Drosophila melanogaster: one gene and its partners. The protein of the gene in region 1 interacts with the protein of each later gene in a pairwise test. Each region holds a gene or a part of one and is shown on either strand. Other genes may lie near its edges. The genes, in order: HHEX, ara and CG11164.

Region 1 (5,080 bases):
ACTCAAACTCTTAACTCTCAAACAATGCGAAGCAAAGCAGACCTTGAATAACTTCTTGCGAAGCCTATAAATAGTTATAAAATAAAGCTAACGATAACTTAAATTAAACTCTATATATATTATTATGTATGTACACTATATGCAAAGGATGATCAGAAAGGAGAGCCGATAGAGAGAGAGATAAGTGAATCAAATGCAATAAGAGGTCAATGATGAAATGATGCTTATTAATTACTCGCAGCCAACGTAGTGCTATATACAAATATTTATTCATTTGCATAAATAAAAGAATGAAGATAAATAAATATGATAATGTTCGAATCAAACGCAACTTCATGGAGAACAAGTCAAGTGAAAATATGTATATATATATATATATATATATATATATATGTATTGAAACCTACAGCTTGCGAGGCGATCGAATAAAGTTATAAATGTAAAATGAAGTTGGAAACAATATCGACATCTTGTCATCGAAACACATGCCCATTGGAGGGGATTACAAATTCAGCCGGTTCTTTCTTTGCTGTTATTAATGCGTGCCACAATTATTTATGCCCAATTTCGAAGTCATTTCAAACCGTTTGTCTCCTGATAATTGCTAATAATTTAGCCTCACTTGACGACCATAAGCCCCCCAGGCCATGGCTTCTTATCGAGCAGTAGGCCTCGTCAATGTCTCGAATTGGTCGCATTTAGTTATCGCATAGCACCGAAAAACGATTTTATTTTTATCACCATTCACCATTCATTATTAACTATTCATTATTATGTTATAATTTGTTTCTGTAAAGTACAAAATACTTTTTGAATGGTCATTACTTACCATTGAGAGCTTCCTTCTGACCAACCATCAGACCCCCGAATACTCTATTCGAACCATTCATGTTGATAAATTTGAATACTCACCTTGTGATATGTCACAAAATGGCCGTCAGTTGGGTTTTTCGGGTGCAAAACGTTATATCGATGGGATTTTGTCGGGGATCACACAACTGACTATCAGTTAGCAGAGCAACAAGTGTCTGCTCATGATGAAGCGTCGAAGTGATATGTCCGGGGATTACAAGTGCACTCGGTAGCATGTTGTATGGGCTTCCTTTCCTTCATATCTTGGAAAGCAGGCTTTGCATAAATTAGTTTCCTAAATGTTTTAATCTCTTTTTCAGTCAAGGTGCTTTCCATTAAGGTATATCAATTATTATGCGAACAGAAACATAAAATATAATATATGTATGATGTTCAAAGAGTTATTTTTAAAATTTTGATGTCATAAAATTTTAATCACCAATCGATTGACTGTAGTTTACTGCCCCTTTTCAACGAAGAACCCCCGAAAATTCTATTTGCAATTCATTAAATCACTTTTCAGCGAATCATATCAAAAGAAATAGGTTTATTGCCAAATATCACATGAATTTGAGTCATTGTCATATGTAGTGAAGTCATACAGTTTCGATTGAACTCCTGCCAATTTAAAGTAGTCACCATTTAGCAAAATCACAAAACTTGAAGAACTTTTAACTCTTTACTTTCTACTCATCGTGTGAACCGAAGACATGATAACATCCTTTCCACCAGCGGAAACTAAAGATTTTCATTGTTCCCGAAACTCGTCGAGGCCCAAAACTTATCTCGAAGGTACCAATTTCTGGGGCGACCTGAAAAACAACATCAAAGGGGTATCTATCAGTAACAATAACAACAATTAAAGGCATTTATGGGCTGTGCGTTTTCCATTTTATCACCCGGCCCAAGCCGAAATCAAAAGTAATCCATCATCTGAGAGGCTTTACGAGGAGCCCGAGTACAACTGATAAGACACCCCGAAACACCTATCCATGCCCCAGGTATACAGACGCATATATTGTTCCCAAAGAGCAGAGAGGGACGGCACCATGGCCGAAATCATAACACAAACTCGATTACTCAATCAAAGCGATGGCTCTCTGATGGTGTTGGTAGGGGGTAGGGTGGGGGGTGCCTTTTGGGGCAATTTTAATTTGTTTACAACAACAATCAACAGAGTAAAATAGCCAAACAGTAGCTGAGAGCTGAAACCAGGTAACGATACCGATAAGGGGTGATTAACAATTACTCGATCAAACGCACCGACCCGCCGAGTGGGAGGCGTTCTGGGGGAGGGTGGTTGGGTGGTTGGGTGGTGGGTTCGATGGGTTGGCAGCTCAATAAGCGGGCGAGCAGGGACTGTGATTTATACAACGATCGCCGATTGGGTGTCCAACCGCGTACCGATGTCGAGCTGTCGCCGCCTGCAATTGGAAATTGGAATATGGGTATTGGGTATTGGGAATAGGAATCGAGTGGAGTGGAGTGGAGTGCCATCGAGGCAGTGGAGCGCCTAACCAACCACCACTCGCTTATCAATCGATGGCCGGTAGCTCGGCACTATCTCCCATGCGCGGCATATCTACATACCGCTCTATTATTGTTAATATTGATATCTACCCATTAGCACAACATTATAGGTACAATCTATTATATTCTGTGAAATCAGATTTGGTACAATTTATAGCGCCCATGGGCTCTGCGACGGCTCCTACAGCTGGTGGCCATTAGTTCATCGCCTGCGGCCGACGCAGTCGCTTCGATCGCTCCGGACCCAATCAATCGGTATCTACAGTTCGTTACTACCGCTCTCAGAATCCACCAATATGGATATCGCCACCAAGTCCAGCAAGGCCGCCTTCTCCATTGAGAATATCTTGGAGCAGAAGAGCTCCTCGCATCGATCTCAATCGCGCAGAGGCTCCTCTCAAAGTCCCGTGGCGGTAACAGCAGGCATAGCTACTCCACACGCACTGGCCATGCCCAAGGCATCCTTGGCCACTGGATCATCCTCCGCGGCGCCTACACCCTCTCCATCGTCCGCCACCAACATCTACGATCTATCCCGCGAGGCAGCTGCCGCCCAGTATGCCATGAAGAGTATGGACTCCAGTGCTGTCCTGGCTCCCACTTCGCTGCGCTTCAATCCCATCTACCCGGATCCCGCCTCGCTCTTCTACCAGCAGGTGCTGCAGCTCCAGAAGAATCCCTCGCTCTTCATGCCCCACTTCCAGGCGGCCGCTGTTGCCGCCGCAGCCGCTGTTCAGCCAACAGCCTATTGTGATCAATACAGTCCATTTACCATGGACTGCGAAGGTGAGTACTTCAGAATACCTACTTAGTGGGGTTAACATGTATTTTAGTTGGGTGTTGAATGTCCTAAAAGATAAAGATTCATTTTCAAGATAATTGCTTAATTTTTGTGGTAATTTATGATAAATCATTCACTAAAATAAGGGTGCATGAGGAGAAGACATTACAAATTTATTATAAAGTTATGGTATTTCCACAGAGCTATAGAAAAGGTATAGAAATGAAATATTAAATTATATGCAATCTAATCTCAGCAAATTCAAAAGATTGTAAAGCAGTTATAAGGCCAAGAAGTATAGTATATTTATTCGACATTATGAATGAAGACAATACAGCATTTCTTTATTAAAAAAAATTCTAGAATAAGATCAAAATTATTCAATTATTCGAGCTGTATACATACATGCAAACGCAGTTGAAACCCTTAGGTCAAGTTATTGACAAGCTCATAAAATAATTGACTAATATATTAATTAATGCGGTTTTGAGAAATCTATTAGCCCAATGATGTCTATCAACAATTTAGTCGTTTGACCTCATTAGCATATTTCATCATACTATCAAATGACCGGAAATGAGTCACCTGAATATGAATGAATAAGCGCTACAATTATCAATTAAACACTAAAATGCAGATAAAGGCAGAAGCATTCTCAGAGTATGATATGTTAAATCCCTATTCTTAAATTCTTATTCATGAAGCTTGGAACCATAGTTTCTATTAGACTTTCTCACAGTTTTTAGCAAAGACTAGGATTGATTCGACACTACCAAGTTCAAGTCATTGAACCTACCCATGCTGACACCTTAATCTCGCTCATCAAGTTGACACATGGAAATTGATCGCCATGGGAAAGGTGTTGCCTGAAATCCCCATTTAAATACCAAATATCTAAGCTAGCCTAAGTCCGAAGTGCCCGGACCACCGAATATTACAATGGGGATCCCACACAAAATGGGCCATAAACATGATTAATGTGTGTGTGTTGTGGTGCAGTTGGGTATTTGTCAAAGTCAAGTGTTGGCGCCAATGCCACTCGAAATCACATTTTCCCCGCCCCAAAAACTGCATTTCCCGGTTGGTTTTCTGGGCGGTGGTGTAACGGTAGATTAGCCCTAGCAATGCTGATAAAGTCAAAGTCCCGAATTCCATCCCCTCGCAGTACAAATGCCCCATTCAGATCGGAAAATATTTCGGTGGCTTATCAGAAGTGACAAATATTTGAAATTCAGGTGAGAGACAGCAGAAACTATATCTATGGATATTTAAGTGACAGTTAGTTTTCATTGAAAGGCATTGAGCTGTTGATTTGGGAAAATCGAGCTGCTGCGAATTAGACGGACTGTGAGAAATCATACTCATTTAAACCTTTGGATAACACACAATTATCACAGGCAGTATCTTTCGATATAATTGTAGTGAAATAGGAAGGAATCAATACAACATTATAGTGGAATGGAATATCTAAGTGCACCTTTCTGTTCCCAATATGCCCGTCTTGAGGATATATCTATGATGAGTCCAACTGAGTTAGGATCATACTACGCCTCAAAAAAAAAAAAGGAGTATTGATTAGCTTGCTCTATGCCATACTGATCACACAATGCAGATAGGAGTATCGTCGTGTATAGGGCACTTCAACTGTACTGCTATCCCGATTTCCGATTTGTTTGGCTTATCTAAACAAAAATGCTATTAGAGGCGATTAATAGGCGCTGTCCATCATCTTATAGCCACGATTGCCATTTGATTACGATAAGCCCGTCCGTTCCCGACACTCGTTCCACCTGGACAAGGGGCAAATGGTTAGGGGCGGAGGCGGGTGTGGTGGTGTTGGCGACAAGTACCTGATATGATATTATTCCTTCAATCGGACACGCACATTATAAAATAATAACAAATCCAATTTTCAGC
Region 2 (5,080 bases), on another chromosome or scaffold:
AGACGACGACGACGACTGGCAGGCGACAGTGCGCAGATAAGATCTGCTGGCCATGTGTGTGCCCAGTGAGCAGTAACCAGTAACCAGTAACCAGTACCCAATGCCCAATGCCAGATACCCAACTTCTGAGTTGCACTGGCTTTGGAAATTTCTGTGAATCGCAAACGCAGCGATCTAATCGCAGCTTGTATCTCGTGGGTCCACCAAAGCGGCCAGGCTACCGCGATTCTGCATCCGAGTGCCTCCCCCGACAATCTCCTCCAGATGACCAAGTTGATAGCACCGGACTATAAGCGCCACTTGGAGCCGCACTCCGCTCATTCTCCTCACTCCCCAAAACGAAGCCAATGTAAAGTAGATCAGAGTGGAGCCAAGTCATTGGTCCATCGATCGTGTTCGTTGGGATTCGGATGCTATCCTATCTGCCATCTCCAGATTCAATGGATGCTCCTCACGTAGCCAGGAGGGCATTCCCAGAGCCTGCCCTCAGCTGTCACTTTACGGTTATGAATTTTATGATTTACGATCGCCGCAATTGAATTTTATTGACTTTTCAACAGTTTCACCTGAGCGTGCCTCAATCGGCACCTCCCATCGTCTTGGCCTTCTGATTGCCAAGGCTTTTCCCTTTTTTCTTTTCCTTTTTCTTTAGTTTTTTTTTTTTTTTTTTGCTTTCGTTTTCGACTTTAGTTAATTGGGCTCGTGTGGTCCGAAATGGGAAAGACGCCAGAGTTCTTTGGAGGAAGAACCAGGCAATTGGTAACCAAGTATTATGGCCTGGGAAATTAAAGTTTAGCCCAGGCAAACGCAATCAATAGGAAATTTAATTTACTCTAGGCCTTTCGAAAGCTTCTACAACTTTTGTAATTTATCACAATATTTTACAAATATTTTAGTTGCACCTGCAAGCCGCGCAATTTTGTGCAACATCTTTAAAACGCCGAATCGTTTTTTGTGTGAATTTTGAAGGTTGACAAAAACGCCTGATTCCTCGGAGTGGCTTTTTCTCAGGCCATTTATCAGCCATCTGATTTATTATGGTTTTTTGCTGGCCTGCCACCAATTTACTGTCATAAACATGGAAAAAGTTTGCCTCAAGCAGCTGTTTTTGCTGCTTAGTGAAAAGTCCAAAAGCGCTACAATCAAAGACTTTTAGCGGTTTTGCCCTATAGTGGGTCCTCAAGATCAAATAATCGGATAACTTTGACTGGAGTCGGTGGAAGTACTCAGATGAAAGTTGGTGGTAAGGATTGCTTAAAAAACACACAAATAGAATTTAAACCCAACCAAGCTTTTTTAGGAAAAAAATTTTAGAAAAAATATTCAGATAACGGGTTCAGTTTTAATGATGGAACGCACTCCAGAAAAGATAGTTGTGATTATAAATAGAAAAATTAAATATGTATATGAAAAAATATGATTTTACAACGCTTTTTGCTTGTGACCTCTGTTTTTAATACCTCCAAACATAAAAATTATGAATCTTTAAGGCAATCATAATTACAATAATCAGTTGATTATATCAGTCGTATGAATAATATTGTATCTAAATAGGTTCCCATATCTGCAGTTAATAAACATTTTCATTCCTCTAGTTATCTTGAGATCTCTTGCTACTTAATGAATATGAATAGCCATCATATAGTATATACATCTAGATCAAATTTAGTTAATTAGAGGACCCACCTGCGAGGCCGACGGAAAGCCTCCGTATCCGAATTGTGTGTAGGCAGCCATTTCGCTATATGACTATACGACTATATAAGACCTAGTCTTAAGATACTCTCTCTCTCTCTCTCTCTCTCTCTCTCGCTCGTGGGCAGTCTGCTGAAGGATATACGGTGAAGCTGCTACATCAAATGATGTGCTTATCGGGGGTTTAACAGCTCAGTTTCGATTGGGTCTGTTCACAGTGGGCACTGGCGATAACGACCATAACGACATTGGGCCAACCGAAAGTATCTCGTGGATTTGTTTGGTATTTGCAGTTGCAGCTGTCACTTGTGGTGGATTTTTGTTTATATATATTTTATTTTTTTTTCTGGCTAACAGCACTCGCAAAACGCGGCGGCAACGAAAAATCGACGAAATATCGACGGCAAAAACGCGGCGCTTCAGCACACGCTCCCTTTCAGATGTGCACCTTATAACGTTCGAACACGAACTGGTTGCGAATGCCGTTGCTGTTGGCCGTGTTGCTGCTGCTGTTGCTGTTGTTGTTGCTGCGCTGTTGGGGCGCATTCCGCTGCAGTTGGCGCGGAAGCGGGACAACAATATGCTGCCTCCCCCCATCGAAAGAGAAACGGAATGCCGCTCGCCTTGGAGCGAGCAACAAGAATAACGGAGTCGGCAGACTGGAAGTGTAAGCACTCTAGAGCAACGCCCACCGTTCTCCGGTTTTGTCTGGTGTTGGTGGTGGCATTTGGCCGGTCGCTCTCTCCGCAATTCCAATCCGATTCCCCGCCAGTGACTCGTATTCGCGGCTCACTGGAAGTGAGGCCAGCGCAACCACCAATCGTAGGGCTGCATGAGCTTCGGCTGGCTGATTTAATGGACAGGTGCGAGGTCGCCAGGCGAAAGAAAGCAAAGAAAAGAAAATACAAATGAAATGAGCGGATGGTGAAGGGAGAGGAAGTGGGTAGGGAGCGGGACGCATTTTCACAACTGTCGATGGTCTCTTGTTTTACCCACAATTCCCGGGCAACGCCCATTTGTTTTGTTTGGCTAGTCATTTGTTTGTTTACTTTTCACAATTGCGCGCCCATCGACTGGAAGTGCGCCACCAGCGATCGCCAGCTGGAAGTGGCAACAAAGTGCTGCGATGGCCAAAAGTGGCGACACAAAAGCGTTAATAAGATCAGCAAATTCCAAGACACTCGCACTGTATTTATCGTCTGTCATTATCTTTATCGCTGCATTGCACTTTAGTTAACTCCCATTATCGATCCTCACTAATTAATCTCTCCTAATTCGGGTTTAAATGAAACATTTCCAGCGATCTTTGTTTAAATATCATTCCACTTGGATACCAGTTACTTAAATTATCAACAAGATTTTAACTTTTTATGGAAGGAATTAATATCCTTACTCAAACAGGCAATCATACCATTAATTCTTGGGATTTTTAAATATCAACCAGATTTTTACTTAGCTTAGGTTATGTTATTAGTAATCATAACATATATTAACTTTGAGACATTTTAAATTTTTTATAAAATGTGTATTGCATTTTTTTACTGCAATTGCTTTTTAACAGACACAGATCATTTAAGTATTTTCAACATTTGCGATACTTTGGCGAACAATATTTATGGCAATTAAAATACTTTAATTATCTAACTAAACTAATTGTTATGCTACTTAAATATGCTAGCCAATTTAATTTCGCCACTTAAAATATCTTCTAGAACATAAGCAATTTTAATTGCAATTAAATAGCACTTGACGTGTATCCGAAAAACAAGAAAAGCCTGACCTAATTTTCTTTTTGATAAATTGCATGCAACGTATGTTTCTGCACTATGATACATTAATTGAAAAAAAAAATTGATTTTTCTAAGATATTTTTAGAGATAACTTAAACCTCGTGTGTTTTGCAGAAAGTTCGGTCTTTTAAGAAATCATAAAAAATATATATTATACTGTCAAATTTAGGGCAAGGAATGGCCCACTTTTTCACTTACACCATATTTATTATGAACTTTTAACTATATTTATAAAATTCCATAAGTTTAGTGTGTAAAAGGTACCCGCATATTGCACATGAGCCCGTGAAAATGCTGGATTTGGAAAAAAGTTTTTGCTATTAATGCGCACTAACATATTTGGACATCCGCTTTACGATCTATTTTTTACGATTACGATTCTCCGGCAGGATGAATTCTCCGGTCGAGGACACGCATTCCGGAAATGGAGAGTCCGCCGTGGATGTGATGCGATGTGATGGGGGAGATGAGGTAAACCTCAAATGTTTTTGCGGGTGCCGCGGATGTTGGCAAGCTTGTTTGCAGCGTGTTTTTGTTTGTTCTCCTGTTCTTCTCTTCTTCTTTTTTTTGTCGTTTGTTTATTTTTATGATAATGTAATAAAAGCAAATTAACCTATAAAACCGAAAAAGTGCGACTTACACGACGGAATTGCGCCATAAGGTCTGGGCGTGTCCTCACCTCGCTCCGCATAAGATATATGTGTGTGGATGAAACGATCCACGTGGTGTGGCTGGAAGTGTGGGTAGAATAGAGCAGTATGGAGTGGCTATGGTGAGTGGATATGGGTGGTACTGGGGGTGGTGGCACCCCACCCACCGCGGCCCAGCAGCGCCGGAAAATGAGAGCAGCGTGTTAGCTGAAAGCAACAAATGACCAAAGCTGTTGCCCCCACCAAAACCCAAATGTGAATTAATTCCAAGGGAAGCCAAGTCATGACGAGGCCAAAGGCAAAACCCAGCGGCAGTCGCACACTTGGCCAAAATCGGGGATCACTTACAGGAACCTCGATAAAGGTGTATAGAATTTATTGGTAAACATTAGTAAGTTTGCTTTTAAAATTGGAAAAATAATAGATTAAATATGAAAAACTAAAGGTTGTTTATAAATTTCATACATAATTTATAAATATATAATGCATATTTTTCAATGTACATATTATTTAATTATGCCATAAAATAATTAAGCTATATAAAGTGTGCTTCTAAAAGTTCGTAATATAAGTATTAAAAATTGAGCCTATTCCTAATATTTCTAAGGTAGTTTTCTTAGCAAAAGGCCTTTTAAAAATATTTATTCTAAATGGGAGCACGTATTTTTTTCGAGTGCAGCGGCGGCAACAAGAGCGTAGAGTCCGTTCCAAGTGCCCCTCCGGGTGTTAAGTACAATATTTGCTGTGTTGCGCGTTTTACGAGTGGCGCTTTTGCAATCGCCGGACGAAAAGGGAAGGACGCAAGAGGGGGTGGCCGGGGGTCTGTGGGCGGAGTGGCGGCGGGGGGCGTGGCAGCGACGGGCCAAATGCAATCAATCAATGGGTCAGCATGATGGTACACACCAGACGACGACGAGTGGCAACCACATGGGGCGTTTCCATTTG
Region 3 (5,080 bases), on another chromosome or scaffold:
TCTTGTGCTCATATTTATGTTTGTGTGCTATGCATTTATTACCGTTGGGAAAGCAATCGCAATCAATTTAAAATTCAAATGTGCATGCAACATGGATGCGCTTGCGTTTATTTAAAAAACTTTTTACAAAGATTAGCTGTTATCTTTTTTTAAGGCGTTTCGTGGGCCCAAATTGCAACAAGCGCACAATAATTGTATTTAATCAAAATATTACAGTGTTGAAAACCAAAGTTTAAATTGCTCGCACATACAAAGGTTCCCAAAAGCATGCAGTGAAACGTATAGTGTCTTGTTTTAAATGAATTCACAAGCGATTTTTATCACCTTGACAATTTACATGTGTAAAATGCGCTTAAAAATTAACTACAGCATAACATTTCGTTGTTTTTCGGTTATTATGCTAGTTTGAGTGCTTGCAACATTGATGAAATGAAGGGCACTTACGTTCGCTGGCAGCAGCCCCAAAAGGAGGAACAAGGAGAGCAGGAGACACTGCAGCGCGTTTGTGTGCGAGGGAGAGGGACGGAGCCACATCTTTCTCAGCCGCTGACGCTGCCTCAGTCGACGCCGCTGTCGCAGTTGCTGCTCGGACTGGCGCCAAATGTCCTACGGGGCTGGTGAGGGGAGGAGGTGCGGGGAGTGTGTGCCTCTCCCTTATTTTCTTCGATTCTTCGCTTTCTTCTTGTCGCAGCCTCCGTTTTGTGTCCGTTTTGGCCCTCGTGTGCGATTTGTTCCTGTCTTTTGTTTTGCTTTCCTATCTGGCTTTCTACTTGCTTCTTTTGCTGTTGATACTTTGCAGTTCCGTTATTTGTACCACATGCTGTTGTTGCTATTGTTGTTGTGGTCGGACTCACACAAACAGCGCTTTGTTTTGTCCTTGACAGACGCCAAATGCAATTTACCGTAGCATGCTTTTGTGCGTTGCGTTGCGATTGTTGGTGTTGCTGCCGTTGTTGTTGCTGCTGCTGCAGAGAAGAGAGAATTTGTTGCTAACTGAGTGCTGCATTGTATTATTTATCTTATGCCACACCAACCACAACACATTCGCACACACACATACACACACACTAAGGCACAAACACCTCGACGACGCCAAAGAAAATTTTCTTTCGTGTGACGCCACTCTTTTCCTTTCTCTGCCTTTCACAATTTAAACTTGAGCACTGGCTTTGGGACACACGGCTAACGGGAAAATTCACTAATGTAACCCCTGTAATTGTTGTTCCGAAAATTCAAGGCATATAGAAAACAACAACAACAACAAGAGCAGGAGTAGCAGGATATTCGGTTGCGGGCGAATGGGTAACGGGGGTGGCGAAATGCGAATCAAGGCGCAAAGCGGAATTCACCGTTAGCCTCGAACGTGGGAGCGCGCACAGCAACAACTGAGCGACAAAAACGGAAACAAAGGAGCCAGCAGCTTTGTAACTGACGGCCAGGATTGCCACCCCGCGCAATGAACTAAGGATTGAAATCATATGTGTTGCATGAATCCCCAAAAATTAATTTCGTTTCTAGTTAGTTTTATTAGTATACTCTGATTTCATATGTTTAATTAGCATTACTTAATATGCTTATATGGTATACCTAAAAAAATATGTCGACTAAGAAACTCTTTATTCGCAACATTTGGCACTGAAGCCTCTAAGTAAACCAATTCCTTAGAAGCCTGGCAACGCCAACAGCTGATGGGGATTTACCAAACGGAATCAAGAGAGATGATCAAACAGCGCATGCGCCAAAAAGGCGCACTTTCAAAATACCAAATTTATGAATACAAATCTTAAAATAACAAAAGTAATTCTTTAAAGTACTATATTCATTGTAAAAAAAAGTGTACATTTGTATTAAATAGAGTATATATATAAAATAAGGAGTTAAAACCTATTCTTAAGATCTGTGAAACGTTAATCTACTTCGCTTTGAAAAACGATGCGATGCTTTTAGTGCCCTTGGCTCCTTTGGCCAGGGCCTTCTCCTTGGCGGTCAGCGAGCGCTCCTTCAGAGGCGCCGCTGTGGGCGATGTGATGGTGGCATTGGGATCGCCATCGCTGTCCACTAGACCGCTGGACTTTAGCTTGGCAGCAGCATCGCTCTCATTTAGCTTGATCTTCTTGGAGTCGCTGCCCTCGTTCTTGCCCGCCACCGACTTGCGCTTCTGAGAAGCTGCTTTCTCCTCAACAATCGCCTGAATCTCGCTAGGAATGTGCAGGTAACTGGTGAGCAAGCCGTGCAGATCCGCATCCAAATACCGTCCCACATAATCGCAAGCCATGCGCGTGTAGTCCATTTCGTTGCTAACGTTCTCAGCTACCAGTTTCTCGCTTCGCACGAAATTCTGCGACTGCGCACTGTGGCCGCAGTGGACTTGCTTCTCCTTCAGGATCTTCGCCACCTGGCGCGTCTTCAGAGCCAACCAAGCCAATGTGCGCTCTTGGTTGTACTTGTAGAACTTCTGTTCGCCAGAGCTCTTCACATCTGCCACGCATTTAAGGTTCCCTGGGTCGAGGATCTCGTTAAGCAGACGACTGGTGCTGGCCTCCTCCACGGCAATGTTGTCCAGCGATATTGCTCCTGATTGTGGTTAAAGATTTTCAAGAATACAATAGTATAGTATACCATCGAAAGCGAATGATAATATCTTACTTTGCGCACAATGTTTTCGGAGGTGATGAAGAGCCAGGAACGTGGGATCCACGGGCGCGGTCATGTAGATTCTGCCGTTGGAGCAGACCTCGCTGTCCACGAACCAACTGCGTCGGGGTTCCGTGAACGCCACCAGCTCCATCATTCTGCCATCGGGATGGGTTATGAACAGTGCCTCCTTGCCATGTCCGGGATGGAAAAACATCTCCAGCCGAAGGTGTCCGTCGTCCGCATCTTTGGGCAGCAGTTCCTCCGACATGAAGAACACCTTCTTCAGTGCCGAGGCCTTGCACATCTTGGCAGATCCCTCCGCATCCGGATCAGCTTTTGGTTTTCTCGCTCGCGTTTCCTTTTTGCCCATTTTCTCGAATAACTTGCCAAGCGTGAAGCAAAAGTCAATAACTGTGGACCGAACCAAAACAAACGATTTGCCGCCTTTTTGGTTATTGATAGAAGTCTATCGATTAATTTTGGTATTTTATATAGTCTGCTAATTTTAACTTGTTCCTATAAACTATTTTATCTATTTTATGCCAAATAGAAGAGCTTAAAAATTAAATAATCTCTGCCACTAACGTCCGCATCTTAATATTGCAACTAGTCTAAAATGGGTATTAACTTTGATTGAGAAGCGCGGTCACATTGCTTGAACAGATGTTCACAGTGATGAAATTGTTTACAACAGTATATTGTTTTTAAACAACAAAATGAGCGTAGATATAGCCAGCACGATCAAGTTCCGGGATATTTGCAGCCTGTTCGAGAAGATTAAGGCCACGCAAAAGGTGGCTAACAAGGAGGAGGTCCTCAAGAGCTACTACGAGTCCTTCTGTCGCCACCGCGAATCCTTTCGCCGGCAAACCGGATTAAACAACGACCAGCCGGAGGACGGTGCCAGTAGCTTCTATTCCGTGCTGCGACTGCTGCTTCCGGGTGCGGACACTGGTCGGGATACCTATGGATTGCAGATCACCGCGCTGGGCAGGCTCTACATCAGGGTGCTCCAGCTACCCACGGACTGTGAGTGCAGAAACGTATTGGCAATGGCATTTAGGCTTATTTAGAATCTCTTTGTTGTCTCTACTAGCCAGCGATGCCATCAGGCTGCAGCACCGCAACGGAAACATGTACCGGGACTACGGTGATGTTGTTTATTCCGTGCTTAAGCCAAGGTGCTTTAATCCGCCCAGCAATTTGAGACTGAAAGAAATCCATCAGATGCTGGACACCATTGCCAACGAGGACACAGAAGGTGGGCGCTTTTAAACTGATCTGAACGACTGAACGTCTTAATGAGACCGCTCTTTGCAGTTAAGCAGCAGCAACTCATCCGGTTTACGGAGCAGGCCTCGCCTGAGGAACAGAAGTGGCTAATTCGGTTGCTGCTTAAGAGCCTCGGGCTGGGGATCGGTGAGCAAAAGATTTTCGGTGTGCTGCACCCCAAGGCGCAGGATATCTACCAGCGCTGCTCCGATCTGGGACATGTGTGCAATCTGCTGGCAGACCGAACCACCGACCTAGACGCCAGCAGCAGCAAGGACAGCAAGGCGGCGGTCAAGTTTGTAAACCTGAATTCCGTCATACGGCCATTCCACCAGATACGTCCCATGCTGTGCGAACGATTCCCCGGTGACATCCAGGAGCTGATGCAGTCGGATGTGCTCTATCTGGAGACCAAAATGGATGGCGAACGCTTTCAGCTGCACATCGATCGGGGTCGTTTCATGTACATTTCCCGCAATGGAGTGGACTACACCAGAAACTTTGGTCACAGCTACGATCACGGCACCTTAACGCCAAAGCTGAGGGGACTTCTGCCGCTGGGTCTGGAGTCTATCATACTCGACGGCGAGATGATGGTGTGGGATACCAACAAACTGCGCTTTCGGGAAAAAGGCGAGAATACGGACGTGAAGAGCCTGAAGCCGGAGGGCAGCTGGCAGCCATGTTTCGTGGTGTACGATCTGCTATATTTTAATGGCCAGAGTCTGCTGGACCATACCTACATTCAGCGGGCGTACAAATTGCAGAAACTCATAGTTGAACAGTCGGGTGTGCTGCAGTTGATGCGTGCACGCAAAATCGGTTCCGTTCAAGAGTTCAACGAGCTGTTCCAGCAGGCACTCGACTCCCACGCCGAGGGCATTGTGCTAAAGAAGCAGGGATCAAGATATCAGCCTGGCGTTAGACTGGGCGGTGGGTGGTACAAGGACAAGGCTGATGTGAGTAGAGTCATTTTTAAGTAGAGTGCTTTAATATGAACTCACTTCAATTTTCCAACCAGTACATCAAAGGGCTGATCACCGAGTTCGATGTGCTGATCATCGGGGCATTCTACAATCGCAAGCGCACCTTTGTGGACTCATTTTTACTGGGCGTTCTCCAGCCGGCGCCGCCAGGCAGCTCTAATCGTCCCGAAGTCTTCAGTATTGGA

Evidence for each region.
Region 2: the proteins of HHEX (region 1) and ara interact in a two-hybrid assay, tested with the Drosophila melanogaster proteins (one large-scale study listed by BioGRID).
Region 3: the proteins of HHEX (region 1) and CG11164 interact in a two-hybrid assay, tested with the Drosophila melanogaster proteins (one large-scale study listed by BioGRID).

Annotation. Positions count from the first base shown.
Region 1 is NT_033777.3:21,078,282-21,083,361, reverse strand, and holds the start of HHEX (hematopoietically expressed homeobox), read left to right. Parts: upstream 1-2,435; 5' UTR 2,436-2,678; coding exon 2,679-3,168; intron 3,169-5,080.
Region 2 is NT_037436.4:12,577,760-12,582,839, reverse strand, and holds the start of ara (araucan), read right to left. Parts: upstream 2,169-5,080; 5' UTR 1,738-2,168; coding exon 1,687-1,737; intron 1-1,686. UniProt on the Drosophila melanogaster protein: Controls proneural and vein forming genes. Positive transcriptional controller of AC-SC (achaete-scute). May act as an activator that interacts with the transcriptional complex assembled on the AC and SC promoters and participates in transcription initiation.
Region 3 is NC_004354.4:13,666,014-13,671,093, reverse strand, and holds CG11164 (uncharacterized protein), read right to left. Parts: upstream 3,081-5,080; 5' UTR 3,008-3,080; coding exon 2,647-3,007; intron 2,575-2,646; coding exon 1,913-2,574; 3' UTR 1,521-1,912; downstream 1-1,520. Other genes in the region: CG15760 (uncharacterized protein), read right to left, coding at 445-534; DNAlig4 (DNA ligase 4), read left to right, coding at 3,354-3,666, 3,734-3,898, 3,958-4,868, 4,931-5,080.